Linked DNA regions of Anolis sagrei. The main gene of each other region encodes a partner of the protein of the gene in region 2 in a complex. Links are inferred from orthologs where the notes say so. Each region holds a gene or a part of one and is shown on either strand. Other genes may lie near its edges.

Region 1 (7,662 bases), on a different chromosome or scaffold from region 2:
TCATGGTTGAAGTAATACTCAAACTGCCTATTTTTTTCAAATCAGGAGGATCTGCATTGAACATGAACATTTAGTTTTAAAATAGCACCCCACATCCCTAATGTTGGTATTGTGCTGAACTTAGTTCATTTCTAAGTGGTGTTCTTATTATCCTGTTTTTAAAATAATATTAGGGATTATCATATGATCCTCATATCTGCAGGAGTGGTACCCATGATATCACTTACGCCCAAAAAATGTTTATAGGCAACTTCTTCCTGTCTCTTCAATAATGGAGCCAATAACTCATATCCAAAACAAAACAATTTAAAGAGGAAATTTATTCAACACATGTCTTGCTTTGGAACTGGTCGTAGTTTCCGGCCTCGCCAACTGTTCTAGCACTAAACACGCACATATAATATCACTAGAGCATAAAACATTATTGACAGTAAATGCTGCAGCAGATGGTACACAGCAGAGAAGCACTCAAACCCTTTCTCTGATAGAGTCCAACACTCTCACAGCCAAGGATCGAATTGGGTCTTCACACAAATCCTACCCAGACTTAAGAATTGCTGGATATATACAGCACCTACATCAGGATGTGATCCTTCCCAGATCACGGCAAATAGAAGATGGACACTCAGAGGGTTTACATTGTTCTGAATCAACTAAAATCAAAGTGCCTGTGTGACTGATTGCAGCAGTAATGACATCTGTGCAAACAGATTGGTAAAAGAGTTAACTCCTCTAGCTGGTTCTCAGTTTTGTACCTTTTCCAAGCCCAAAGTGCAAAGCAAATCCAAAAGTATCCAACAAAGTCATTAAATCAAGTTAACTTTCATTCCACTGAATGGCTATGATGGTCAAAAGGACTGCAGAATCAAAATACAGGCAGTCCCCAAGTTACAAACATCTGACTTACAAATGACTCGTAGTGAAGAACGGGGGTGAGACAATAGGAAGTGAGGGAAGTCAACCTCCTGGAAGAGTTATTATCATGGGGGAAAGGTGTCTCCACTGAAGCTTTATCAACAATCCTTGTTTCCACAACAAGCCATATTTTTCAAAATCCAATGATCACATGGATAGAAAGTGAAGGGAAATCTGCTGAACAGGGCCACAGGCAGCAAAACAAACACCACAGGGATGTTAACCCTTCCCTGTGCTATCCAACACACACACACAGCAAGAGAGGGGGGAAGGGGAGACAGAGAGTGTGAGTTTTTGAATAGCACACACATATATATCACCAGGGTTACTCTTAAAAAATGTATCTGTTCCAACTTGCATATAAATTCAACTTAAGAATAAACCTGCAGAACTATCTTGTATACACAATGGCAAGTATTATGGCAGAACCGACCAACAGTGATAAAGTATACAAATAACTAGATAACAAAGAACAGTTGCTTCAAAATGGGAGTTGACTCAAAGAAGCAAACAGGCTGTTTCCACACAGTAGAATTGCAGCAGTTTGACGCCATATTAACTGCTGTGGAATTCTGGGATTGATGATTTTATGAGAATTGTACCCATCTGTAAAATTACACTAATTCAGCGGTGTGAGTGGTCCCAGAGTTTCAAGATCTAGTCTGTTGGTTGGGGTTTTGGGGAGGCACCAATACTCTTTGACAGAGAAGGCTAAAGACCTTGTCAAACTACATCTCCCAGGATTACAAAGCATTGAGCCATGAAAGTTAAAGTGTTGTCAAACTGCACCCCAAGAGGTATTGCTTGCCAACTGCAAAAAGTCACCCTGGGAGACATGACCCTTTGCAGTTGGTAGGCTGCAGTACGCATTTACATCCAATAATTTAATATTCTAGGCCGCCTTCCTTATTCCCTCCTAGTATGCGTGAGGATTTGGCTAGGGAGGCCTTTTTGTTTAATTGCTGGCAAATCCCTCCTCTGCATTGTGCCAGAAAGGATTCTAGCTATTTCATGTAAAACACATGTGTCCTGGCAAAGATGTTTTGTAAATCCAAAGGACTTGACAACTGCCAGGTTTGCTTCCTACCCTTGTAGCTGAATCTGGGCAAATAATATGTAACCAGACCATATCATTCTTGTGACTGAGACTGTAATAATATTTGCTCTTCTAGATCAGAGGTTCTCGAGCTGTGTGTTGGCTGCAGTGTCTACAAGGAGAAGTGACAAGTGGAAATTTATATTACCGTATCTTACAAATCATATATATGAAATGTTTTCTTGAGATATGTTGTGTATCTCTAAATTTCATTATTACAATTTTTGTATGAGTCCGTATCTCTTATACAAAGTTGGTCTAACCTACGTTTTGCTGGTAAAACCGAATTATGTGTCGCAAAATGATGCCTGTCTAAAAAATGTACTCCCAACATGAAATGTCTGAAAAGCTCATAACCTTTTAGAGAAGAGCCAAAAACCTGTTTGAGTATAATCTTCTCAAGTGGTATACAATCAAATGTAAATATGCAAGGCAGTTTGGCTTCAATTGTTAGACTGAATGATCTGCTGTCTCTGATCTTTTAGGAAACAGAGAATATGCCAGTGCATTAAAAATATCCGTTCTTCAGATGTATTTTTCAGTGCCCAAAATGTACTCTCTCATAAGACAACTTGTTTTATATTATGCACTCAAGAGACAAAACAGACTTTGGTTAAAAAATAACATATTTGGTTTACTCACAACCTTCATGTGTTCAGCATACACAGGTACACAACTTATCAGTCAGTTACAGATATGTTTGAGATCATTTCTATGCCCAGCTCTTTAAGCTGCTCCTCATACGGCTTGTTCTCCAGACCCTTGATCATTTTAGTCACCCTTCTCTGGACACATTCCAGCTTGTCAATTTTTCTCTTCAGTTGTGGTGCCCAGAATTGGACACAGTATTCCAGGTGTGATCTAACCAAGGCAGAATAGAGGGATAGCATGACCTCCCTGGACCTAGACACTATACTCCTATTGATGCAGGCCAAAACCCCATTGGCTTTTTTTGCCGCCGCATCACACTGTTGGCTCATGTTTAACTTGTTGTCCATGAGGACTCCCAAGATCTTTTTCACATGTACTGCTCTTGAGCCAATTCAGAATGGCTCCTTTAACACTTTAAATATCAAGGCTGAAGACTTAAACTTTATAATCATCCAGCTCTCACACAACCAGACACATCTTCCCTTTAGCTCAACCTGCTAAAGACTGGCTCATATTTTAAAATGTCGACTCTTCTGTTGTCAGTTAGCTCCTCCCCTTTTTCCTCCTAGCTCTTCTGAAATGGATACATTTCTACTGCAGGTTTCGCTACTATGGCAACGCATCAACCAATCAGCTGTAGCTAAGGCTGGCCTGCACTTACGATATACCAACATTAATAAACACATTCAAAACTTACATTATAATTAGATATTCCATTACACACCTCTTTCAAACAATGAAGTTATTTTTGAAGGGCAAGCATTTTTCAGACGATGAGACTCTGATTTCCGAAGTCACAACGTGGCTTTTGGAGAAACCTGTCAACTTGTACAACCGAGGCGTTTTGTTATTGTTGTTCATTTGTTCAGTCATTTCTGACCAGCCCATGCCAGAGCTCCCTGTCGGTCGTCACCACCCCCAGCTCCTTCAAGGTCAGTCCAGTCACTTCAAGGATGCCATCCATCCATCTTGCCCTTGGTTGGCCCCTCATCCTTTTTCCTTCCATTTCCCCCAGCATCATTGTCTTCTCTAAGGTTTCCTTTCTTCTCATGATGTGGACAAAATATTTCATCTTTGCCTCTACTATCCTTCCCTCCAATGAGCAGTCGGGCATTATTTCCTGAAGTATGGACTGGTTGGATCTTCTCGCTGTCCAAGGCACTCTCAGCACTTTCCCCCAACACCACAGTTCAAAAGCATCTATCTTCCTTCGCTCAGCCTTCCCTAAGGTCCAGCTCTCACATCCGTAGGTTACTACAGAGAATATCATTGCATTAACTATGCGGATCTTTGTTGCCAGTGTGATGTCTCTACTCTTCACTATTTTATCGAGATTGGACATTGCTCTCCTCCCAAGAAGTAAGCGTCTCCTGATTTCCTGGCCGGTCTGCGCCTGCAGTAATCTTTGCACCTAGAAATACAAAGTCTGTCACGGCCTCCACGTTTTTTCCCTCTATTTCCCAGTTGTCAATCATTCTTGTTGCCATAATCTTGGTTTTTTTTATGTTTAACTGCAACCCAGCTTTTGCACTTTCTTCTTTCACCTTGGTTAGAAGGCTCCTCAGCTCCTCCCTGCTTTCGGCCATCAAAGTGGTGTCATCTGCATATCGAAGGTTGTTAATGTTTCTTCCAGCAATTTTCACCCACAGGAAGTGGGTCAGGGGAAATCTTTAATGAACGCCCCTGGTACATGTAGGCTGTCCTGTCTGCCACAGGCAAGTAGGGAATAGTAAGCACAGTTTGGGCCCAGGATGGCAGTCTTCACAGGAGAATGGGTGCAGTGGAACTGCTGTGGTTGAATGCTATGGGAGAGTGGGAGTTGTGGGTTTGCAATGTCTTTCCCCTTCTCTGTCTCAGCAAACTCCAGCTCCCAGGATTCCCAAGCATTGTGTGGGCGGAGGAAAGCCGGCCTGAGGGCGCATGCGCGTGGTCGCCAGGGACACGTCAAGGCCAGAGCGTGAGGGAGGAGGGAAGGAGGCGGGCTCGCGACTGCCCCGCCTCGCGGCCTCCTCCCCCTCCCCCCTCCGGCCTCGTCAGTTGCCGGGTCAAAACAAAGCCTGGAGCCTGACGTGGCCTGGTTTCGTCTCTGCCGCCGCCGCCGCCTGAGAAGACGAGGAGGAGGAGGGAGAGAAGGAAAGGGAACCCTTCTCGGCGCCGCCATGGAGGCCCGCTACAACCTCAAGAGCCCCGGTGAGCAGAGGAGCAGAAGGGGGAAGGGTGGGCCGAGCGCAGGAGGGGATGCCGGTTTCCCCTGGAATGTGTAGGCAGGGCGGGCTCGGCCCTCACGCGAGACCGCGGCGCCAGGCCTCCTCTAGGCCGCAGCACCGAGCCTCACCAACACCGCCTCCTCCTTCTTTGGCCCCGCTGGCGTGTCTCTATACTGGGCAAGGGATGCAGTCTAGCACCACTCCAACCGCCATGGCTGTGGGATCATGGGATTTGTAGTTCGGGGAGGTACCAGCCCTCCTTGACAGGGAAGACTTAAGCATCTCGTGGAACTACAAATCCCAGCATTCCATAGCCATTTGCTACATTCACACTTGCCTCAAGCAGACAAAAGTTGAAGAATTTTCCTAGTTTCCAACAGACCTCACAACTGAATGGTTGTTGGTTTATCAGGCTGTATGGCCATGTTCTAGAAGCATTCCCTCCTGACGTTTCTCCAGCATCTGTGGCAAGCATCCTCTGAGGATTTTTGCCACAGATGCAAGCAAAACATCAGGGGAGAATGCTTCTTGAACATGGCCACAGAGCCCGAAAAACCTACAACAATGTGAAAAACCTACAATAACCCAGTGATTCCAGCCATGAAAGCCTTTGACAAGATCTCACAACTTCTGAGGCTGCCTGCCATAGATGCAGGTGAAACGTCTGGAGAGAATGCTTCTGGAACATGGCCATACAGCCCAGAAAATTCAGAACACCGCAGTGATTCCGACCACGAAAGCCTTTGACGATAGACGAGAGTTCTTTCTCCCACCGTGGACATTCCAGAGATATATAAACTTCACTTATCCTAGTTTCCAACAGACCCCTCAACCTCTGAGGATGCCTGCCATAGATGTGAACAAAACTTCAGGAGAGAATGCTTCTGGAACATAGCCATACAGCCCGGAAAACTCATAGCAACCCATTCCATAGCAAGTTCGAGTGGTGTCAGTCTGCATTTTAATATTAAGCTGTCGAATTGTAAAAAATATCTTGTAATGTCTTTGCTTAAGTTCTCAGGATAGTGTTTTTGTTGGTATGAGCTTGAATGTTTGCCGTTGCTTGTTGGAAACCACCCTGAATCCCCACGGGGAGATAGGGCGGGATAGAAATAAAATTGTTTATTATTATTATCCTAAAGTGTAGAGCAGGCCTGGACAAACTTCAGCCCTCCAGGTGTTTTGTATTTCAACTCTTACAATTCCTAACAACCGAGAAATTGTGGGAATTGAAGTCCAAAACAGCTAGAGGGCTGAAGTTTGCCCAGGCCTGGTGTAGAGGAACCTTCAGTCACCTCAACCCTGGAGCGCCGTTTTTCTTCAGCCTCACAGCTTTGGCGTTGATTAGACATGGTTTTCATTTGGGTCATGGTGACCTGATGGTGGAATCACACCCTCTCTGCTTTAGACGACAACCCCTTGCAAGCAGTCCCCAAGTTACAAACATTCCAACTTACAAGCAACTCCCTAGTTAAGAATGGGGCTGGAACAACAGGAAGTGAGATAAATCTACCCCTCTGTAGGGAAATTACTTCTGAAAGAGTTATTATCATGGGGAAAAGGTATCTCCACTGAAACTTTTTCACCAGTCCTTGTTTCCACAACAAGCCAATGTTTTTTCAAAATCCAATTCTCACAGGGAGAGGAAATGAGGTAAAATCTTCTGAAGAGGAGCACAGGTAGCAAAACAAACACCACAGGGGTGTTAACCCTTCCTTATGTTGTCCAAAGGTACAGGGTGAGGCAACATAACTTCCTTTTTTTAAATGCGCGCCATTCAGTCGGTGGAAGACGTAGTGGAGTGCTAGTGGTCTCATTCGAGAGGTGGGAATATAAAGTTTTGTCCTGACACAATTCAGTTGTCATCATGCATTGGAACAGTGAGGAGCATGCTTTTGCCGTTGAGGCCTACTTTTCGAGCTTATTTGCAGTGGCCGGCCCACTCTCCAGATTTGGCCCCTTGTGATTTTTTTCTATGGGGCTTTTTGAAATCCCGTGTTTATGTGAACCGTCCAAGGACCCTACAAGATTTGAAGAACAACATCCAGGAAGAAATTGCCAATATAACGCCTGCTATGATGGCAAGTCATGACAAATGCCAAAAATTGGTTTACTCAGTGTATGGAGAATGGGGGACGTCACCTACCTAATTTGATCTTCAAAACTATGTAAAACAAAACTTTAGGTATGCGCCTACATTATAAATTTTTTTTTCTGATTCATATAATGGGTTTTATTAAGTTTTGAAAAAAAGAAGTTATGCTTCCTCACCCTGTATATATATGTGTGTGTGGCTGGAGTTACACTAAATGTATCTGTTCCAACTTACACATAAATTCAACTTAAGAACAAACCTACAGAACCTATTTTGTTCATAACGTGGGACTGCCTGTATATGCTTTTTCTCATTTCTTCTTATTTTAAGGATTGTGGAGCCAAGTAGCAACTTTTCGCTGTTTGTGTATATATGTCCCATCAAAAGACCTGTTGACTTGTGATGACCCCAGGAGAGCCAGGATGGTCCAGTAGTTTGTGTGTTGGGCACAGGGTTTGGGGTCCTCACTCAGCGATAAAAGCCCGCTAGTGATGTAGTGGATTGAGCATTGGACTACAACTCTGGAGATCAGGGTTTGAATCCCCACTCAGCCATAGAAACCCCACTGGGTTACCTTGAGCAAGTCACACTTTCTCAGCCGAAGAGCAGATCTTACCAAGAAATCCCTGCAATAAGTTTACCTTAATTCAAAATGATCTGAAGGCACACAGCAACAAAACAAACTGTTGGTTTCACTC
Region 2 (6,987 bases):
AGTTCTCCAGCACCATGTCTCCACTATCTTATAACAGCCTTCTTCAGGCAAGTTGGAATTCTGTCATGTTTTAGCATGACACTGACCACTCCGTCTATTTAGTAAATGAATAGCCTTTTTTTAATAACTCAAGAAGGCCAAGTCTCTAACGCACATATGGCAGTTCGTATCTCTCAAAGAAATCTGTCTACATTCTTGGGTGGCTCAAATTAAAAAGCAATCATCAACAAGTTAGAGTCAAAGTTACATTCACTGCATCTGTACCAATTCTAGTGTCAAAGTCAGAGGGGATATAAGCAATTTCATTTGCCAAATGCCAGATAAACTATCCATAGCAAACTGTTTATGTTCTATGAGTTTCTTGAAGATCTTTTATTCAGAGTGTTCCCCATAGTCATAGAATAATAGAGTTGGAAGCTAATCCAATCTCCTACCATGCAGGAAAAGCACAATCAAAGCACCCCTGACAAATGGCCAACCAGCCTCTGCTTAAAAGCCTCCAAGGAAAGAGCTTTCACCATACTTGGAAGCAGAGAGTTCCACTGCTGAACAGCTCTTACAGATAGGAAGTTCTTCCTAATGTTCAGGTGGAATCTCCTTTCCTGGCATTTGAACCCATTGCTCCTAGTCCTAGTCTTCAGGGTAGCAGAAAACAAGCCTACTCCCTCTTCCTTCTGACATCCTTTCACATATTTAAACATGGTCTTCTCTTCTGCAGGTTAAACATCCCCATCTTTTTAAGCTGCTCCTCATAGGACATATTCTCCAGACCTTTGATCATTTGAACAAGTTCCAGTTTGTCAATATCTCTATTGAATGTTTGTGCACCAGCTGCACCCATACCTTGGGAAGTCTGACTTGGCCACCGTAGTCCACGCTCTTGTTACATCCTGTATAGACTACTGCAATGCTCTCTATGTGAGGTTGCCTTTGAAGACTGTCTGGAAGCTTCAACTGGTCCAATGGACGGCAGCCAGGTTCCTAACTGGAGCGGCTCTCAGGGAGCATACAACCCCCTTGTTGCGCCAGCTCCACTGGCTGCCAGTCTGCTACCAGTCGCAAGTCAAAGTGCTGGCTTTGGCCTTTAAAGCCCTAAACGGTTCTGGCCCATCTTACCTGTCCAAATGCATCTCCCCTTATGAACCTTCGAGGACTTTAAGATTGTCTGGAGAGGCCCTGCTCTCGGTCCCGCCATCATCACAAGCATGGCTGGTGGGGACGAGAGACAGGGTCTTCTCAGTGGTGGCCCCTTGGCTATGGAATGCCCTTCCTAGGGAGATCAGATCGGCTTCTTCTCTTCTAGCATTTCAGAAAAAACTCAAGACATGGCTATTTGAGCAGGCATTTGCGAATACTGAGTAACGGACATAAGAACGGAACAACTACATGATGGGACTGGACATTGTTCTAATGTGTATTTATTGAATTATGTTTTATTAGAGTTGTTATGATTTTATTGATGTTAATGTTTTTATCTTGTAATTGTGTTTTTGGTGGCATTGAATTTTGCCTTGTAAACCACCTCGAGTCACCGGAAGGCTGCGAGGGGCGGTATACAAATACAGTAAGTAAGTAAATAAATAAATATTCTAGGTGAGGTCTAACCAAAGCAGAATACAAAGGCACCAGGACTTCCCTCGATCTACATGCTATACTGCTTTTGATGCAGTCCAAAATCCCATTGGCTTTTTAGTTGCTGCATCAAGGGTCTGGAGATCAAGGGTCAAGGGTCTGGAGAACAATCCCTATGAGGAGCGGCTTAAGGAGCTGGGCATGTTTAGCCTGAAGAAGAGAAGGCTGAGAAGCAGGCCTGTAGCCAGAATTTTGTTTGGGGGGGGGGGGGCTGAGTTTAGTTTGGGGGGGGGGGCTGAGTCTAAGTGAAAGAGGGTCTAAACTAGCAAACCTTTTGTATCGTTACCCCAATACCCCCATGCATATGGAATATATTGAGCATGGTGATCAGATCATGATATGAATAAACATAACAGTTTAAATAATGTACCAGTAAGGCCTTCTCTCAAACCACCATGAGAATTTTGGGGAGGGGAGGGGCTGAAGCCCCCCCCCCCCCCGGCTACATGCCTGCTGAGACGAGATATGATAGCCAAATATAAATATGTGAGAGGAAGCCACAGGGAGGAGGGAGCAAGCTTGTTTTCTGCTTCCCTGGAGACTAGGACGTGAAACAATGGCTTTAAACTACAAGAAAGGAGATTCCATCTGAACACGAGGAAGAACTAGGTTCTTGTGGGTTTTTTGGGGCTATATGGCCATGTTCTAGAGGCATTAGAACATGGAATGCCTCTAGAACATGGCCATATAGCCCCAAAAAACCACAAGAACTTAGTGATTCTAGCCATGAAAGCCTTCGACAATACATGAGGAAGAACTTCCTGTGACAGCCGCTCAGCAGTGGAACTCTCTGCCCTGGAGTGTGGTGGAGGCTCTTTCTTTGGAAGCTTTTATACAGAGGCTGGATGGCCATCTGTTAGGGGTGATTTGAATGTAATATTCCTGCTTCTTGGCAGGGGGTTGGACTGGATGGCCCATGAGGTCTCTTCCAACTCTTTGATTCTATGATTCTATGATCACATTGTTGGCTCATGTTCAACTTTTTGTTCACAAAGACTCCAAGATCTTTTTCACATGGACTTGTTATTCAGCCAGGCATGTAGTTCATTCAGCACGAACAACTGTTAATGCAGAAATTCAGTTGGATATGATCTCATGAAAGCAGTAATCAAAAGGATGAAAAAGTCAGTGGTATTTTATTTATTTATTTCTCATGTCAGGGCAGCCAGTCAATTATATTACATTTCTAACAGAACAAAGCAAACAAACAGAGAAAATACAAAATGTGTGAGTTTGGTAGTTGATTAAATGTCCTTTGATCAGTATCTGGCCACTTGGAGTGCCTCTGGTGTTGCCGCAAGAAGGTCCTCCATGGTGCATGCGGCTGGGCTCAGGTTGCATTGCAGCAGGTGGTCTGTGGTTTGCTCCTCTCCGCACTCGCATGTCATGGATTCCACTTTGTATCCCCATTTCTTAAGGTTGGCTCTGCATCTCGTGGTGCCAGAGCGCTGTCTGTTCAGTGCCTTCCAAGTCGCCCAGTCCTCTGTGTGCCCAGGGGGGAGTCTCTCATTTGGTATCAGCCATTGGTTGAGGTTCTGGGTTTGAGCCTGCCACTTTTGGACTCTCGCTTGCTGAGGTGTTCCAGGGAGTGTCTCTGTAGATCTTAGAAAAGTCAGTGGTGACATCTTTGAATGACTGGGGATCCTTGTTGATGGAAGTGTCAATATAGAGAAAAGAAAATAATGTAGTACCTGTTACCAAGCATGACCCCCTCTTATTACAAATCTAATTTATAATAAGGGAACTTATAGTTTTGCCAAGGACACCTTTTTGGCCAAAAGAGCGCTGGTGTCTCATCAAACTACAACTCCCATGTCACAGAAGTCGGCCAGGGAAGGTCAAACAGCATCAAACTATAGCCCCTTCCACACAATTGACTAAAATCCCACACTATCTTCTTCGAACTGGAATATATGGCAGTGTGGACTCAGATAATCCAGTTCAAAGCAGATATTTTGGGATTTTCTGCCTTGATATTCTGGGTTATTTGGCTGTGTGGAAGGGCCCTGTATTAATTCTGTGTTGTAGGCGCACTCGCCTTCTGCCAGCTTTCCAGTAGGGCAGCCGCTTGCCATTCTGATTGGCTGCTTGGATTGCCTGAACTTCAGCCAATCGGTTTCCACCAGGTTTTTTTAGCCGCGGCTTGTGCAAGCGCTCGCTCCCCTGATTGGCCCAAGGAGTGAACCAATGGCGTTTTACCAGGTTTTTTTTCCCCACCGAAAAGCCTCACTCTCCCCGCCCCTTGGAATCAGCCAATGGTAAGCGCCCTCTGCGATAATTGACACCTCACCGGGACCATTCTCTTCCCTGGGTCAGAACGCGAAGGCAGGGCGGAAGTGGCCGTTGCCTAGGAAGGGCAGAAACAGGCGGAGGGGGCGGCCGTGCGGGGAAGATGGCGGCCAGGTTCCTGCTTTCGAGGTTTTGCGGCCCGCTCCTGCTGCTGCTCTGGGCAGCGGCGCTGGGAGGCGGAGAGGCGCTGGGTTCCTTGAACCTGCTGGAGCTCAGCGAGCTGAAGTACGGGATCGAGATCGGGGCCGAGCCAGTGATGGCCGGGCAGGTAGGCCCACCTGGATGGGGAAGAGAGGAAGGGAAGTGTCATCCATACTGGAGCATTAACGCAGTTTGGTATCACTTGAACTGCCATGGCTCAATGCTGAGGAATCCTGGGAGTTGTAGTTTCACAAGGTCGTTAACTCTGCTGAAGAGGGCTGTTGCCTCCCCAAACCCCTGACTCCCATAATTCCATAGCACTAATCTGGGGCAGTTCAATGTGGGCTCAAACTGCGTTAATTCTACAGTGCAGATGCGCCCCCAGATCTGATGCAACTGTAATTGAACTTGATAAACAAAATCAAGAGTGTAATTGTAATGTTACTTACCGTATATTAAAAACTTAGTGACAGGAAATATAATTTTTGGGTTGTTGTATGTTTTTTCGGGCTATATGGCCACGGTCTAGAGGCATTCACTCCTGACGTTTCACCTGCATCTATGGCAAGCATCTTCAAAGGTTGTGAGGTCTGTTGGAACTAGGAAAAAGGGGTTTATATATCTGTGGAATGACCAGGGTGGGACAAAGGACTCTTGTCTGCTGGAGCTAGGTGTGAACGTTTCAACTGTCCACCTTGATTAGCATATAATGGCCTGACAGAGCCTGGAGCAAACTTTTGTTGAGAGGTGATTAGATGCAGGCAAAACGTCAGGAGAGAATGCCTCTAGACCATGGCCATATAGCTCGAAAAAAACATACAATAACCCAGTGATTCCGGCCATGAAAGCCTTCGACAATATAATTTCTGCTACAGAAATGATTAAGAGAAAAAAAATTTTAGAATTATTAATGTCAGATTTAAATATAGTAGTAGGACCTAATTATATAAAGGAAACGCTTACTTCTTGGGAGGAGAGCAATGTCCAATCTTGATAAAATAGTGAAGAGTAGAGACATCACACTGGCAACAAAGATCCGCACAGTTAAAGCAATGGTATTCCCCATAGTAACCTATGGATGCGAGAGCTGGACCATAGGGAAGACTGAGCAAAGGAAGATAGATGCTTTTGAACTGTGGTGTTGGAGGAAAGTTCTGAGAGTGCCTTGGACCGCCAGAAGATCCAACCAGTCCATACTTCAGGAAATAAAGCCCGACTGCTCATTGGAGGGAAGGATAGTAGAGGCAAAGATGAAGTACTTTGGCCACATCATGAGAAGAAATGAAAGCTTAGAGAAGACAATGTTGTTGGGGAAAATGGAAGCAAAAAGGAAAAGGGGCCAACTAAGGGCAAGATGGATGGTTGGGATCCTTGAAGTGACTGGATTGACCTTGAAGGAGCTGGGGGGGGGGGGGGTGACGGCCGACAGGGAGCTCTGGCGTGGGCTGGTCCATGAGGTCACAAAGAGTCAGAAACGACTGAACGAATGAACAACAAATGTAAAATTTAAGACATTGCTTTTACAAAATGAACAAATGAAGAAACATTTAGAACCGCATACTTGGAATACTAAAAAGGATTTTGTTAAAATTCAATTCCAACATGGAGAAACACAGCGTATAGCTGCCAGGAGAGTGTACTAACTGCGTATCACTGGTATGATATTTTAAAGGAATGCTCGCCAAGAGCTACAGCTTTCTTGCATGTTTTATTACACTCCATTGTGTGGATTTGCAGCGTACTGTTGTTGATTATGAGATAATTGTTATATTTAGTGTAAAGAAAAACAATCAGACTTAATTCAAAAAGATAAAAATGGAAATGCATGTGTTCCAACAGCATTTGTGATTTCAAAATAGAATGTATTTTGATCTCAAGCTGGAAGTGTTTGTGACCAACCTGTGTGCTTGAGCCCTTGTGCTGAAGAAACAAAAGTATCTGTGAAGAAATTGAGAAGCACAATGCATGATGATATGGTGAATTGACAACTAAAGTGAGGATTCTCTGAGAGAGGAAGTATGACCTTCAGAATGGCTGCATGTTATCAAGTAAAGCGGAGCCCCCAGTGGCGCAGTGGGTTAAACCCCTGTCCCAGCAGGACTGAAGACCGACAGGTCGCAGGTTCGAATCCGGGGAGAGGCGGATGAGCTCCCTCTATCAGCTCCAGCTCCTCATGCAGGGACATGAGAGAAGCCTCCCACAAGGATGATAAAAACATCAAATCATCCAGGCGTCCCCTGGGCAACGTCCTTGCAGATGGCCAATTCTCTCATACCAGAAGCGACTTGCAGTTTCTCAAGTCGCTCCTGACTTTTTAAAAAAAAAAATCAAGTAAAGCCACAGGACTAGTCAATATAGGAACTTTAACAAGAGATAACAAGAAAACATTGTTCATTATTACAGTTGTTTGTAAAAACAACACATGCATGCAGATAACAGAAGTTAGAAGGTCTATAAAAAGACTCTCCAGAGAAAATGTGCAAGAATAGCAGTGATCAGTTCTCAACCAGTGATGAGAACTGATCAACTTGGCATGCGGACCTTTTTGTTGTATGAAGAATGATTGTATGAGTGAATGAAAACCTGACATCAAGAATTGTATAGTGAAAATGGAGCGATGAAAGTTACTTGTAAAATGTTTGAAATCCAGATCTGGTGTCTGGGAATCATTTTTCAGATCTATAGTCTTGAGTAAACAGTATTCAGTTTCCCCTCTTCTCTGGATCATAAGAACAAACTGCTTTGGGTTACATTTGTCACTTGCAAACATGAAATGCTGCTGGTATAATGTATGCTAGGCTAGTGAGACTTTCTGCCAGGTTTAGTTGGTCCTTGGTTTCTGTTTTTGTTGGTAAGCATTCCAAGTGCAGAACTTGCTTATTTTTTGTTTATGATATTCATTCATTGAGAGGCAGTGCACACTGA
Region 3 (7,377 bases), on a different chromosome or scaffold from region 2:
TGAACCATGGGGAGAGACAGGTAAGAAATAAAATTATTGTTATTGATGCTGTTATTGTTATTATCAAACTACAACTCCCATTACAACACGGCTTGACCCATGGCAGTTCAAACTATATCAAACGACATTAATTCTACAGTCTAGATGTACTCCTCGTGAAATTGCCCACACACACATTAGGAGGTATTGCTAAAAAATTGGGGGGAGCATAGGGGCCCAGGGAACACTTACAAAAAATCTGGAGGCATACTTTGTCTACTCCTTATACCCTGTGGCATAAACCCACCCTTTCACAATACTGCAAGCTGTTGGGTGGGGGGGCGCTCCACAGTTCCTGGCCATTGTGATGCCACGCACACCTAGGGTTCATTTACAGTATACTGCCGAAATAATGCACTTTGACACAATTCTAATCGCCATGGCTCAGTGCTAAAGAACCCAGTAGTTGTAGTTTGGTGAGGCATCAGCACTCCTAGGTAGAGAAGGCTCAAGACCGTATAAAGCTAACTCCCACAATTCCATAGCACTGGGCCATGGCAGTCCAAGTAGTGTCAAACTGTATTAATATTGGAGGCAGATGTCCATTCAAAAACCATTCAGAAACAACACATGCATTCAATGCCTCTTATCAATACTGTTACCAATACCACACAAATTTGTTCCATGAAGCTTGTATTGTAGAGGCATGAAGACGACTTTTGGAATTAAGGTTTTTTTCATATTACTAACTTGTGGAAACTTCTATCTATGTTTTATTATAAACCACTGGAAAACTAGGATACATAGATGGAATCTAAGAAAGTCTAAATAACAAAATCTAGGAACTCAGTAGACGCATTTGACTTTTAACAGTAAACTGTGATGAACCATCAGCACCGGCTTACAAATGGAGCAGCTAAAGCACAAACCTGCAGAGCTCAGGTATTATGACAAACAAACAGACCAAAGTCCTTAGCTTGTTTAGTTGCAAGTGAAAGCAACTGGGCAATATCCACTGACACACTGCCTATGAATAACGAAGCAGGTTCAAAAAGAAAGAGATGAGCGGAAAAAAAAACTGATCTCTGGTTCAAAGCCCCTGGGACTCAAACCACAAACTATTCTGAATTGTATTGCTCTAAAAGCAGATCAATTAATATGGGGATTATTTCTAGAGTGCGTTGATGGTAAATGTTGAAATCTCTCATACTTCTAATCAGGTGGATTAATTATTTATGTTATTTCATGTTTCATTTTTTAAATGCATGAATCTAGGCTAATACTACTGTCATGGAATATTTCAGGGATACTACTTTTTATCAGACTATAGCAAGAACATATAATGTGAAGGAGTTAAAAGAAGAAAATGAGGCATTCTTCATATAGCTCACTGCTGACTTTCTGAAAAGTTATGAAAACTAAACAAAAAAGAGAATGCAGAGTAGATACTCTCGCTATTCTTTGTATTGGACTCCAGTATTGCCCCACTGTAATTTATCCAATGTGCCCACACTGCAACACACCCAGATATTTCTAGATGAGCAGCCTTGTTCAGCTTCAATCCTACACTCAGTTACCAGTGAAAATACATAAAGAGATTACAGAATTGCACTGTGTTTCAACAAGAATCTCCTGTGGCACACTAAACATTAGCAGATGCATTGTGGGTGCCTTCTCTCCTATGTCAACAAACCCTTTGCATCTGTGCAGGTCATGGAGGTTCTGTGTGGGAAGTTTGGCCCAATTCTATTGTTGGTGGGATTCAGAATGCTCTTTGATTGTAGGTGAACTGTGAATCCAAGTGACTACAAATCCCAAATGTCAAGGTCTATTTCCCCCAAACTCCCTCTGTGTTCATATTTGGGCATATTGAGTGCTTGTGCCAAGTTTGGTCCAGATCCATCATTGTTTGAGTCCACAGTGCTCTCTGGATGTAGGTGAACTACAACTCCCAAACTCAAGGTCAATGCCCACCAAACCCTTCCAATGTTTTATGTTGGTCATGGAAGTTCTGTATGCCAAGTTTGGGTCAATTCCATTGTTGATGGAGTTCGGAAAGCTCTTTGATTGTAGGTGAACTATAAATCCCAGCAACTACAAGTCCCAAATGACAAAAATCATAATTTTTTGAGTGATGATCACTCCTTGTGTTGTGAGACGTTTTGTTGCCAAATTTGGTGTGATTTTGTTCATTGGTTTTTTTGTTTTTAAGGTACTCATTATGCACAGAGCATTTATATATATATAGATTATATGTGCATATATATATATATATATATATATATATATATATATTGCAAGCCACTCTGGGTCCCCTTCGGTGTGAGAAGGGCGGCATATAAATGTCGCAAATAAATAAATAATAGTGTACATAAGAACGACATACAGGTTGTGTACCCCTTATCCAAAATGCTCCACAAGTAACCAAATGTGGGGCCTTTCAGATAGGCCCAGTCTGTGTGTTGTTGTTGATGATGGGCCCTCTCCCACTCTGCTCACCTGCGGGCCGGGTGGTTTCCCTGGAGACGCTGCTGGGGGCGGGGCCGGCGCGCGGAGCCGGGGGCGCGTGCCTAGCGGCGGGGGGCGGCGGTTGCCCGGCAACGGGGGCGGGCCTGCCCTCTGGAGCGGCGGTCGCGAGGAGGTAGTAGCAGGTGGGGACGTTGCCGTAGTAACAGCACGCGCCCGGGTTCGGAGATGTGGAGGAGGCCGCGCCCGCCGTCGTCGCCGTCGTCGTCACGGCTCCGGCCATGAGGGCAGCCAGGCCGCTGGTCTGCCAGCTCAGGTAACCGCAGTAGGAGTCCCACAGCCATTGGTGGACGCGCCGGGAATACTCTGCGGCACTGAGGGCTTCCGAGGCGGCAGCAGGAACGGAGGAGGAAGGAGAAGAAGAAGCAGCGCCTGCTCTTCTCCTTCTTTCTCCTCCTCCGCCTCCCTCAGGACCAGCGCCGTCGACAGAAGGCATTTCCGAGGGCTCTGCCATAGCCCCGGCCCTGTCACTGTTTGAGCTGCCCACTGCGCATGCGCGTCCCACGCCCAGGTCCCCGCCCACTGTCCTCTTTTTCCCTCCTGACGCAACCGCCCCGCTGTGACGTCAACATTTCAGGGGCGGGGCTACAGGGAGAGGGCAGAGGTCAGGTTATGGATTGGAATGTCCCACTTCGCTTTGACTCTTGGGAGGCGCATGCGCCACCAAGGAGCTCCCTGTGACGCAGTGGGTTAAACCCATGTGCAGGCAGGACTGCAGACTGACAGGTTGCAGGTTCGAATCCGGGGAGAGCACGGATGAGCTCCTTCTGTTAGCTCTAGCTCCCCATGCGGGGACATGAGAGAAGCCTCCCACAAGGATGGTAAAACATCAAAACATCCGGGCGTCCCTTGGGCAACGCCCTTGCAGACGGCCAATTCTCTCACACCAGAAGCAACTTGAAGTTTCTCAAGTTTTTCCTGACACGAAAAAAAAAATACCTACCAAGAGCCCTTCAGCCAAAACAAAGCGGGCAGAGAGGGAGACTTCTTGGGGGTCACAAATGCTGTATAAGCTTTCAGTTGCTCCAAAACCCTTAACCAGGCAGAAGGTAAATGGAGTAATGGCAAAGGGCAGAACAGGATAGTTTGCATTCAAGCAATAGGTCAGGTCAGTAATTGCTTTGATTGTCAGCTATAATCCTGTTCTCTGATAAAGGTATGTTTTTATTTTGCTGGTGCTCAGTTCAAGCCTAGCTCTATGCCTTTACATTTATTCAAATAGACTACTGTTTTCTGCTTTAGCTCTGCCTATATTGATAGAGTGGCCCTTCGGTATACAGTGCTGATAATGTGTTGTTGTTGTTCATTTGTTCAGTCGTCTCCGACTCTTCGTGACCTCATGGACCAGCCCACGCCAGATCTCCGTCGGCCGTCACCACCCCCAGTTCCTTCAAGGTCATTCTAGTCACTTCAAGGATGCCATCCATCCATCTTGCCCTTGGTCGGCCCCTCTTCTTTTTTCCTTCCACTTTCCCCAGCATAATTGTCTTCTCTAGGCTTTCCTGTCTCCTCATGATGTGGCCAAAGTACTTCAACTTTGTCTCTAGTATCCTTCCCTCCAATGAGCAGCTGGGCTTTATTTCCTGGAGGATGGACTGGTTGGATCTTCTCGTAGTTCAAGGCACTCTCAGAACTTTCCTCCAACACCACAGTTCAAAAGCATCTATCTTCCTTCGCTCAGCCTTCCCTAAGGTCCAGCTCTCACATCCGTAGGTTACTACAGGGAATACCATGGCTTTGACTAGGTGGATCTTTGTTGCCAGTGTGATGTCTCTACTGATAATGTACATACTACATAATTGCATATGTGGTTTTTAGAAGATATATTTGCATTTAAATATAACATGTTTCATTAAATAATTAACGTATTGACAGTGCAATCCCACATGTCTACTCAAATGTAAGCCATACTGAATCCAATGAGATCTTTTACCTACTAATTTGTTTATGCTAAAAGAAATACAGTTCCATTTTAAAAGACTATATAGCAAATGAGCTTGAGTTATTTTCATTTCAAAGGCCTCTTAGATTGCTCTCATGGTTCTGGATTGTATCTTCTAAGATAAGAAAGTATAAATAGGTACCAGGCAGTAATTAAGAAAGAAGAGCCAAATATTGAGAATGTACCCATTTAGCAGGTTGATTTTCAACTATAGTGTTCTAGAGCTCATTTTAATGCTAAAAATCATGCCTGGGGGAGATTTTAGTATGGCAATGCCCCCCTCCCCCCCCAATTATTATTATGAGATGTGAATATATATCTACACACATGGATATGTGAGATTTTTGCAATAATGTAAGGTGTAGATGCAAATAATGCTGACTGTTCTGTTAATTTTCATGAGAAAATCTAGATATTATGCTGGCTTTGTGTTAATTTTGGAAAATACTCCCTAGCACCTTTATTCTGCACAGAGAGAAATAAGAGTTGGATCTCCTCTCTGGTGTGTTTTTCATTGGTCTAAGTGCACTGGGCAAAAACCCCCAACATCATATACAGGATTGCAGCTGGATTCTATATTTTCCAGTCTGTGTTACATTCTTCAGGGAGTTTTGGGGAATTGTTTAATATTCAGTGGCTTTCTGCCACCTGGTGGCAATATAGAATCAGTACCTCAACTTTGGTTGACAAGCAAAAGTCAGATGTACAGCAGTCCCAAAGTTACAAACAAGATAGCTTCTGTACCTTTGTTCTTAGGTTGCATTTGTTTATATGTTGGAATATGCCAAATTTTTAAGTGTAACTCCAGCCAAAAATATCTATTTTTTTTATCTTTGGATGATATAGGGAAGGGTGAACACTCCTATGGTGTTTGCCTTGCTGTCTGTGCCCCTGTTCTCTCTCTGACCATCCTAGCCTTCCTTGGTTCTCTCTTTCCTTCCATTACCAGGCAACCAGTCCTAGCAGGGAGTTCTAGCATGTGGCCCCCAAGTCAGAAAGTTTGCCCATGCCTGGCCTAGATAGTCTGGTGGTCATCTGCAAAACGTCAAAATTGAGTTAGAACAATTCTTCATGAAAATGTGTGTAATGCAATCTCTGCTATTTTTAAAGCACTGTTTCAGGAGCAATCCCACACTCATGAACTTAACTGAGGGTGCATCTACATCTCTTTTAACTGCCGCATCTCACTGGTATGGAGTTATGGGAGGTGGAGCTTTATGAGGTCTTTAGCAATTATGTCAAAGAGTGCTTGTGGGGGAGCATAGGGGCCCATGGGATACTTGTAAACAATCCTGGAGGCATACTTTCGCTAGTCCTTATACTCTGTGGTATAATCCCACCCTTTTACAATAGTTGTTAAGGGGGCTCTACTGGGGATCTCCTGGGCATTGTGATGCAACATACCTAGGGTGAATCTACACTGTAGAAATGATGCATTTTGACATCGTTTTAACTGCTAAAGGATCCAAGCAGTTGTAGTGGTGAGTCATCAGTGCTCCTCAGCAGAGAAGGCTCAAGACCTTATTAATACTTACTAACTCCCATGATTTCATGGCATTGGGCCATGGCAGTTAAAGAGGTATCAGACTGCAGTAATTTTGCAGTATAGATACACCCTAAGACTGTCGGAGCAAGGACCTAACAAAATTTAATTACAAGCTGAATTATACGCTTAGAGCAATAGGCTTTTGTTTCTAGGTTCCTCCTACTGTGAGATCCCAAAACAATACTGTAGTCTTGTTTGAGACTGAAGTTTTGTGTCTTCTCGATTCCACATAATCTGATCTGTTCTTTGACCGGATGCTTTATTGTAAATGTTTATCAGGAAACCCACAAAGGGGCAGGAATCAAGGAGCGCATTCGAAAATATTGAATTTTTAGAAAATCTTAAGACAGGAAGTTCTGGTGTGAATTGCCAGCAAATTGCTGAGAGTGTGGCATATACTGCCAGAAAGTGGAATAAATGAAGACTTTAGCTCCATCTCTTCGCCAACTAACAACTGCTGATTGGCTGGTCTTCTTGCCCTTTCATAGAATCAGAATAATACAGCTGGAAGAGACCACGTGGACCATTTAGTACAACCCCCTGCCATGCAGGATAAAAGCACAATCAAAGCACACCCAACAGATGGCAATCCAGCCTCTGTTTAAAAGCCTCCAAGGATGGAGCTTCATTAGCTCATGAAAACTACCCATGGGATTCTGGGAAGGGGAAGAAGCTAGGGCTGTTCAGAAATAGCATAGACATTTTCACCCAATATTGCAAAGGCCAAACAGTTCCCAGTGCTGTATGTTGGGAGTCCTATTCATAGTAGGGATGGATTTGTTGATGACACCAAATGATAATAATGGCTTTGTTCAGACTTAAAACTAAATATGATTTATCTTTATAAGAAAAAACCATAGTAAAACTTTAAAAAAAAGTGACATACTTCTCACGTGGCCATTATCCTGTAGCATTTAGCTAGTCCTCTCAGCCCTAAATTATAATTAACTTTAATTATTATAATCTGTAATAAAAGTCAACTTCAAATAATAGTTTATGAAACTGGTTTGTTTTAACAAACCCCAGCTGACAACACTTTAGTATTCAGGTAACACGTTAAACTATGATTAATTTAAAATAGAAACAAAATATTGTAATCTTTTTATAGTCACATCAATGGAGCAGTTTTTTCTAATAATGGTAAATTCTTACATCTGAATACAGTCTGTGTATATGAAAACTAGGATTTATTAGTTGTAAAAAAATTACCTAAAGATTTTAAAAAGCTTTCTAATATAGCTCATGAAACTAGACTTATATCTGTATGAAAAATAATATATATGCTTATACAATAAATCATTCCTTCTACAATGTAAACAAGTTACATTTTTATTTTCATTCATGTGATAAGTTTACTATTGAAAAATGGCATGTACTAAAGCCA
Region 4 (7,011 bases), on a different chromosome or scaffold from region 2:
ATATGTACATTGTAATCCGCCCTGAGTCCCCTGCGAGGTGAGAAGGGCGGAATATAAATACTGTAAGTAAATAAATAATAGGCCAAAACACCTGGGGACCCACAGGTTGCGAACCACTGCTCTATGAGTATAATTATAATAATAGGTAAGGTAAATGTTTTCCCCTGACATTGAGTCCAGTCGTGTCCAACTCTGGGGACAGTGCTCATTTCCATTTCTAAGCCAAAGAGCCGGCATTGTCCACAGACACCTCCAAGGTCATGCGGCTAGCGTGACTGCATGGAATGCTGTTACCTTCACGCCGAAGCGGTACCTATGGATCTACTCACATTTGCATGTTTTCGAACTGCTAGGTTGACATAAGCTGCAGCTAACAGCGAGAGCTCACACCGCTCCCCAGTTTAACCCACTGCACCACTGGGGACTCCAATAACAATAACACATATATAATAATAATAATAATATTTTGGACAGGAACTATAACTCCCAGAACCCTCTTTATAAAAAGAGAGAGAACTCTCTGGAATCTTTTCCACCCTCTTCCCCCATGCAACCTCTTCCTCTATTACTATATTTTCTAATTCTTGGGGTAACTGTAACTCCCAATCCTCCCCCCAAAAGAATCTCCCTGATAATTTTCTTCTTTTTCCTCTATAATAATTATTAATTAATAATATTTTCTATTTCCAACTCATGGGAGAACTATAACTCCCTGAACTCCCTTAAAAACAGAGAGAACTCCCTGGAATCTTTTTCATCCCCTTCTATAAGTATAATAATAATAATAATAATATATAATTTTTCTACCTTGAACTCTTGGAGGGGAACTATAACTCCCAGAACTCCCTTAAAAAAAGAGCAAGAGAACTCCCTGGAATCTTTTCCACCCTTTTTCCCCATGCAACCTCTTCCTCTATTATTATATATTCTAACTCTTGGGGTAACTTACTCCCAATCCTCCCCCAAAAGAATCTCCCTGAATTTTTTTCCTTTTCTTTTTCCGCTATAATAATTATTAATTAATACTATTTTCTATCTCCAACTCATGGGAGAACTATAACTCCCAGAACTCCCTTTAAAAAGAGAGAGAAAACTCTCTGAAATCTTTTTCTTTCTCCCCCCCCCCATGCAAATTCTTCTTCTATAAGTATAATAATACATAACATTTTTAATCTCCAACTCATTCGGGGGGGGGGGGGAACTATAACTCCTAGAACCCCCCTTTAAAAAAAAGAATTTCTCTGGAATGTTTTTCTTCCTCATCCCCCATGCAACCTCTTCCTCTATTATTATTGCAGTTCCTATCTCTAACTCTTAGGAAAACTATAACTCCCAGTCATCTCCCCAAATTATCTCCCTGGATTTTCTTCTCCTTCCTTTTCCTCTATTATTATTATTATTATTATTATATTTTCTACCTCCAACTCATGGGAGAACTATAACTCCCATACCCCCCCCCCTTAACAAAAAAAACTCCCTGGAATCTTTTTCTTCCTCTTCCCCCCATGCAACCTCTACCTCTATTATTATCATTATTATTATAGTTCCTATATCTAACTCTTGGAAAAACTATACCTCCCACTCTTCCCCCAAAAGAATCTCCCTGGAATTTTGCTTCTTCTTTTATCAATAATAATAAACTTTTTACCTCCAGCTCTTGGGAAAACTATAACTCCCAGAACCCCCTTAAAAAGAGAGAGAGAGAGAGAGAAAAAACTCCCTGGAATCTTTTTCATCCTCTTTCCCCATGCAACTTCTTCCTCTATTATTAGTATTATATTTTCTAACTCTTGGGGGAACTATAACTCCTAATCCTCCCTCAAAAGAATCCCTATGGAATTATTATTATTATCTAACTCTGGGGGAACTATAACTCCCAACCCTCCCCCAAAAGAATCTCTGTGGAATAATTATTATTATATTTTCTAACTCTTGGGGGAATTATTATTACTATTATTCTATTTTCTAATTCTTGGGGAAACTATAACTCCCAACCCTCCCCCAAAAGAATCTCTATGGAATTATTAGTATTATATTTTCTAACTCTTGGGGGAACTAGAACTCCCAACCCTCCCCCAAAAGAATCTCTATGGAATTATTAGTATTATATTTTCTAACTCTTGGGGGAACTAGAACTCCCAACCCTCCCCCAAAAGAATCTCTGTGGAATTATTACTATATTTTCTAACTCTTGGGGGAACTATAACTCCCAATTTTCCCCCAAAATTCTCTGTGGAACTATTAGTATTATTATGTTTTCTAACTCTTGAGGGAACTACAACTCCCAATCTTCCCCCAAAAGAATCTCTATGGAATTATTATTATATTTTCTAACTCTTGGGGGAACTATAACTCTCTCTATTGAATTATTATATTTTCTCACTCTTGGGGGAACTATAACTCCCAATTTTCCCCCAAAATTCTCTGTGGAATTATTAGTATTATTATATTTTCTAACTCTTGAGGGAACTATAACTCCCAATCCTCCCCCAAAAGAATCTCTGTGGAATTATTATTGTATTTTCTAACTCTTGGGGGAACTATAACCCCCAATCTCTGTAGAATTACTACTATTATTATGTTTTCTAACTCTTGGGGGAACTAGAACTCCCAATCCACCCCCAAAAGAATCTCTGTGGAATTATTATCATTATCTTTGGGAGTTTTAGTTTCCCCAAAAGGTGGATTCTGGGAGCTGTATCCCCCCCCCCCCCCCCGAATGGCTTCTCTTCCCGCTTTGCCCAAAAGGAAGATGGCGGCGCCGACGTCAACCCAAGCATTACATCCGGGTATCGCAGCTGTTCCCAAGGCCTCACCGGGGCTTCCGGGTGCAGGCGGCGGAGTTCGGCCTTGAGGCGCCGGACACTCCAGGAGCGCCGGGCGGAGAGAGGCAAGTCCTCGTGGCGTTGCGCGGGGCTCCGGACCAGCAGGGAGACCAGGCCTGAGGCCTCGCCGGGCTCCATGACGGCACAGCACCTTCTCCCTCTCTCCTCCGCCGCCGGTGACGACAGCGTGAAGTCACGCCCAGGAAGGCCCCTTATATAGACTCTGCTTGGCTCCGCCCCCCTCGTTGTTGGCCTTCGCGGATTGGCCAGCGAGGCGGGACGTGGGCCAATCAGCAGCGGAAGGGGCGGGGGGAGAAAGAAAGCGGAAGAAGTGGGCGGGGCCAGAGCCTCAGCAATGTTGCTGTCCATCTCATTGGCATTGGTTGACGTTGTGTAGCCCCATTGGATGGCTGGGAAGATGAGATGGAGACCAGTATAGTCTATTATTACTATTATATAATTATAATATATATTTTAACATGTTTTATATATATATATATATATATATATATAACATGTTAAACACTGCAGGTGTTTATATATTATATTATTATATATATTATATATTATATATATTATATTATTAATAACATTATAGTGAAATATATACTTATCTATTATATTAATATATTAGTACCAATATAATATATATTACATTATATTATTAATAACATTATAATGAAATATATACTTATCATATTAATATATTAGTACCACTATAATAATTATTATATTATATTATATTATATTATATTATTAATAACATTATAGTGAAATATATACTTATCATATTAATATATTAGTACCACTATAATAATTATTATATTATATTACATTATATTATTAATAACATTATAATGAAATATATACTTATCATATTAATATATTAGTACCAATATAATATATATTATATTATATCATATTATTAATAACATTATAGTGAAATATATACTTATCATATTAATATATTAGTACCAATATAATATATATTATATTATATTATATTATTAATAACATTATAGTGAAATATATATTACATTATATTTTTAATAACATTATAGTGAAATATATTACATTATATTATTAATAACATTATAATGAAATATATACTTATATTAATATATTAGTACCAATATAATATATATTATATTATATCATATTATTAATAACATTATAGTGATATATATATTACATTATATTATTAATAACATTATAGTGAAATATATACTTATCATATTAATATATTAGTACCAATATAATATATATTATATTATTAATAACATTATAGTAAAATATATATTACATTATATTAATAACATTATAGTGAAATATATACTTATCATATTAATATATTAGTACCAATATATATTATATTATATTATATTATATTATATTATATTATTAATAACATTATAGTGAAATATATTACATTATATTATTAATAACATTATAGTGAAATATATACTTATCTATTATATTAATATATTAGTACCAATATAATATAATGTATTACATTTAATACATTTCCATTAATAGAAATGTAATAAATATAATAAATATAATAAATTATATAATATAATAACATTGATATTTCACTATAATGTTATTAATAGTATTATATATATAGTAAAAGGTAGTCCCCTGACATTAAGTCCATTCATGTCTGACTCTGGAGGTTGGTGCTCATCTCCATTTCTAAGCCAAAGAGCCGGCGTTGTCCATAGACACCTCCAAGGTCATGTGGCCAGCATGACTGCATGGAGCGCCGTTACCTTCCCGCCGGAGCGGTACCTATTGATCTACTCACATTTGCATGTTTTCAAACTGCTAGGTTGGCAGAAGCTAGGGCTGACAGCGGAAGCTCACGCCGCTCCCTGGAATCGAACGTGAAACCTTTCGGCCAACAAGCTCAGCAGCTCAGTGCTTTAACTCACTGTGCCACCAGTGGCTCCCAATAACATTATAGTGTAATATATATTATATTATATTATATTATATTATATTATTAATAACATTATAGTGAATTATATACTTATCTATTATATTAATATATTAGTACCAATATAATATAATATATTACATTTAATACATTTCTATCAATAGAAATGTAATAAATATAATAAATATAATAAATTATATAATATAATAACATTGATATTTCACTATAATGTTATTAATAGTATTATATATATATATGTACTGTTGTATTGTTATTAATAGTGTTACATAATAAATATATTACATAATATAATAATTATAATTATATATTAGTAATAATAGAATATAACATTATAGTGAAATATATACTTATTATACCTATGATATTAATATATTAGTACCAATATAATATAATATATACAATAATATTAATTATATATAATACTAGCTGTCCCCTGCCATGCGTTGCTGTGGCCCAGACTGTTGATCTGGGAAATAAAGTAATGAGAAAGTGTTGGTTTCTAATATATATAATTATGCTTGTGAGTAAACGGTATTTCTTGTTGTTTCTTTGTCAGTGTTGATGTGGAGAGTGTCTGGTTTGTCTACTCTGAAATATGCAACATACAATTGTCCTTCTTCAGGGGTCCCTTTCAAATCTATGATACTATATCTGTGTGTGAATCGTATCTATCTATATCTATGGCTGGATGGCTCTTTGTCAGGAGCGCTCTGATTCCATTTTCTTGCCCTGGTGAAGAGAGTTGGACTGGATGGCCTTAAGTATTTTCTGTTGGTCATGGGGGTTCTGTGTGGGAAGTTTGCCCCGATTCTGTTGTTCGTGGGGATCAGAATGCTCTTTGATTGTAGGTGAACTGTGAATCCCAGTGACTACAACTCCCAAATGTCAAGGTCTATTTCCCCCAAACTCCACCTGTGTTCATATTTGGGCATATTGAGTGCTTGTGCCAAGTTTGGTCCAGATCCATCATTGTTTGAGTCCACAGTGCTCTCTGGATGACGGTGAACTACAACTCCCAAACTCAAGGTCAATGCCCACCAAACTCTTCCAGTATTTTATGTTGCTCATGGGAGTTTGGTGTGCCAAGTTTGGTTCAATTCCATCGCTGGTGGAGTTCAGAATGCTCTTTGATTGTAGGTGAACTATAAACCCCAGCAACTACAACTCTGAAATGACAAAATCATAATTTTTTGAGTGATGGTCACTCTTTGTGTTGTGAGATGTTTTGTTGCCAAATTTGGTGTGATTTCGTTCATTGGTTCTTTTGTTTTTAAGGTACGCATTATGCACAGAGCATTTATATATATATAGATGGTCATTCGTTGGCCTGATAGATATATTCTGTCTAAATTTGCTGTCAATTCGTCCAGTGGTTTTCAAGTTGCGTTAATCTCACAAACGAACATTACGTTTTTATTTATGTAGATTATGCCTTCCTTGGAAAAGTGAGTTGCTAAAATCTTATTTGGGGCCCCTGTTTAGTCCATTTTGAGCTTTCTTTTGACGGCCTATTTTGCAACTTGCTGCTGCATTGCATCAGTTTGGTCGGGGAGGGGGGAGCCTTTTTCCTCCCTGGAGCCATGCGAAAGAAACACCTGCGCATACAGAGAGAGACCATAAATCACCACTATGGGCAAGGTTTCCTGGGAAATTGCTTCGAGGTTTCAGATAATAGTCTTCAATGCTTTAAAGCAGCTTTGAAACTGCCTTCTATGGCAGTAAAGATCACCTTTGGAAGAGAAAAGCAGGATAATAATAGTAATGATGGCAACCACGTCTGACGACTGACCATAGTGGGAGTTATAGTTCACTTTACAGCCAGAGAGCACACTGAACCTCAACCATGATCCCTCTAGAGCAGGCCTGGGAAAACTTTCTAACTTGGGGGTCGCATGCTAGGAGGACAGGCTGCCCAGTGATGGAAAGAAGGAAGGGGAGGAGGAAGGAAAGAGAGAAGGAAGGATTAAAGGGAAGAAGGGAAGGATTGAAGGAGGAAGAGGGAAGGAAGGATAGACAAAAGGGAAGGAAGGAAGGGTGGGAGGGAGGGAAGGAAGGATGGAAAGAGAAGGAGGGAGAGAGGAACGGAGGAAGGAAAGAGGGAAGGAAGGATGAAAGGGTGGGAAGGAAGGATGGAAGGAGAAAGGGAGAGAGGAAAGGAGGAAGGAAAGAGGGAAGGATGAAAGTGTAGGAGGGAAGGATGGAAGGAGAAAGAGGGAGAGAGGAAAG

The links. The genes of interacting proteins can lie anywhere in the genome.
Region 1: OS9 (region 2) and UBE2J1 share a complex: the UniProt entries of both Homo sapiens proteins name them as parts of the HRD1 complex. The link is inferred for Anolis sagrei from reciprocal best matches to the Homo sapiens genes OS9 and UBE2J1.
Region 3: OS9 (region 2) and FAM8A1 share a complex: the UniProt entries of both Homo sapiens proteins name them as parts of the HRD1 complex. The link is inferred for Anolis sagrei from reciprocal best matches to the Homo sapiens genes OS9 and FAM8A1.
Region 4: OS9 (region 2) and HERPUD1 share a complex: the UniProt entries of both Homo sapiens proteins name them as parts of the HRD1 complex. The link is inferred for Anolis sagrei from reciprocal best matches to the Homo sapiens genes OS9 and HERPUD1.

Annotation. Positions count from the first base shown.
Region 1 is NC_090021.1:104,920,753-104,928,414, forward strand, and holds the start of UBE2J1 (ubiquitin-conjugating enzyme E2 J1), read left to right. Parts: upstream 1-4,651; 5' UTR 4,652-4,821; coding exon 4,822-4,852; intron 4,853-7,662. UniProt on the Homo sapiens protein: Catalyzes the covalent attachment of ubiquitin to other proteins. Functions in the selective degradation of misfolded membrane proteins from the endoplasmic reticulum (ERAD) and is essential for cells to recover from ER stress.
Region 2 is NC_090022.1:186,669,057-186,676,043, forward strand, and holds the start of OS9 (protein OS-9), read left to right. Parts: upstream 1-3,972; 5' UTR 3,973-4,024; coding exon 4,025-4,189; intron 4,190-6,987. UniProt on the Homo sapiens protein: Lectin component of the HRD1 complex, which functions in endoplasmic reticulum (ER) quality control and ER-associated degradation (ERAD).
Region 3 is NC_090024.1:81,811,929-81,819,305, reverse strand, and holds the start of FAM8A1 (protein FAM8A1), read right to left. Parts: upstream 3,012-7,377; 5' UTR 2,960-3,011; coding exon 2,479-2,959; intron 1-2,478. UniProt on the Homo sapiens protein: Plays a role in the assembly of the HRD1 complex, a complex involved in the ubiquitin-proteasome-dependent process of ER-associated degradation (ERAD).
Region 4 is NC_090028.1:6,191,458-6,198,468, forward strand, and holds the start of HERPUD1 (homocysteine-responsive endoplasmic reticulum-resident ubiquitin-like domain member 1 protein), read right to left. Parts: upstream 3,012-7,011; 5' UTR 2,964-3,011; coding exon 2,817-2,963; intron 1-2,816. UniProt on the Homo sapiens protein: Component of the endoplasmic reticulum quality control (ERQC) system also called ER-associated degradation (ERAD) involved in ubiquitin-dependent degradation of misfolded endoplasmic reticulum proteins.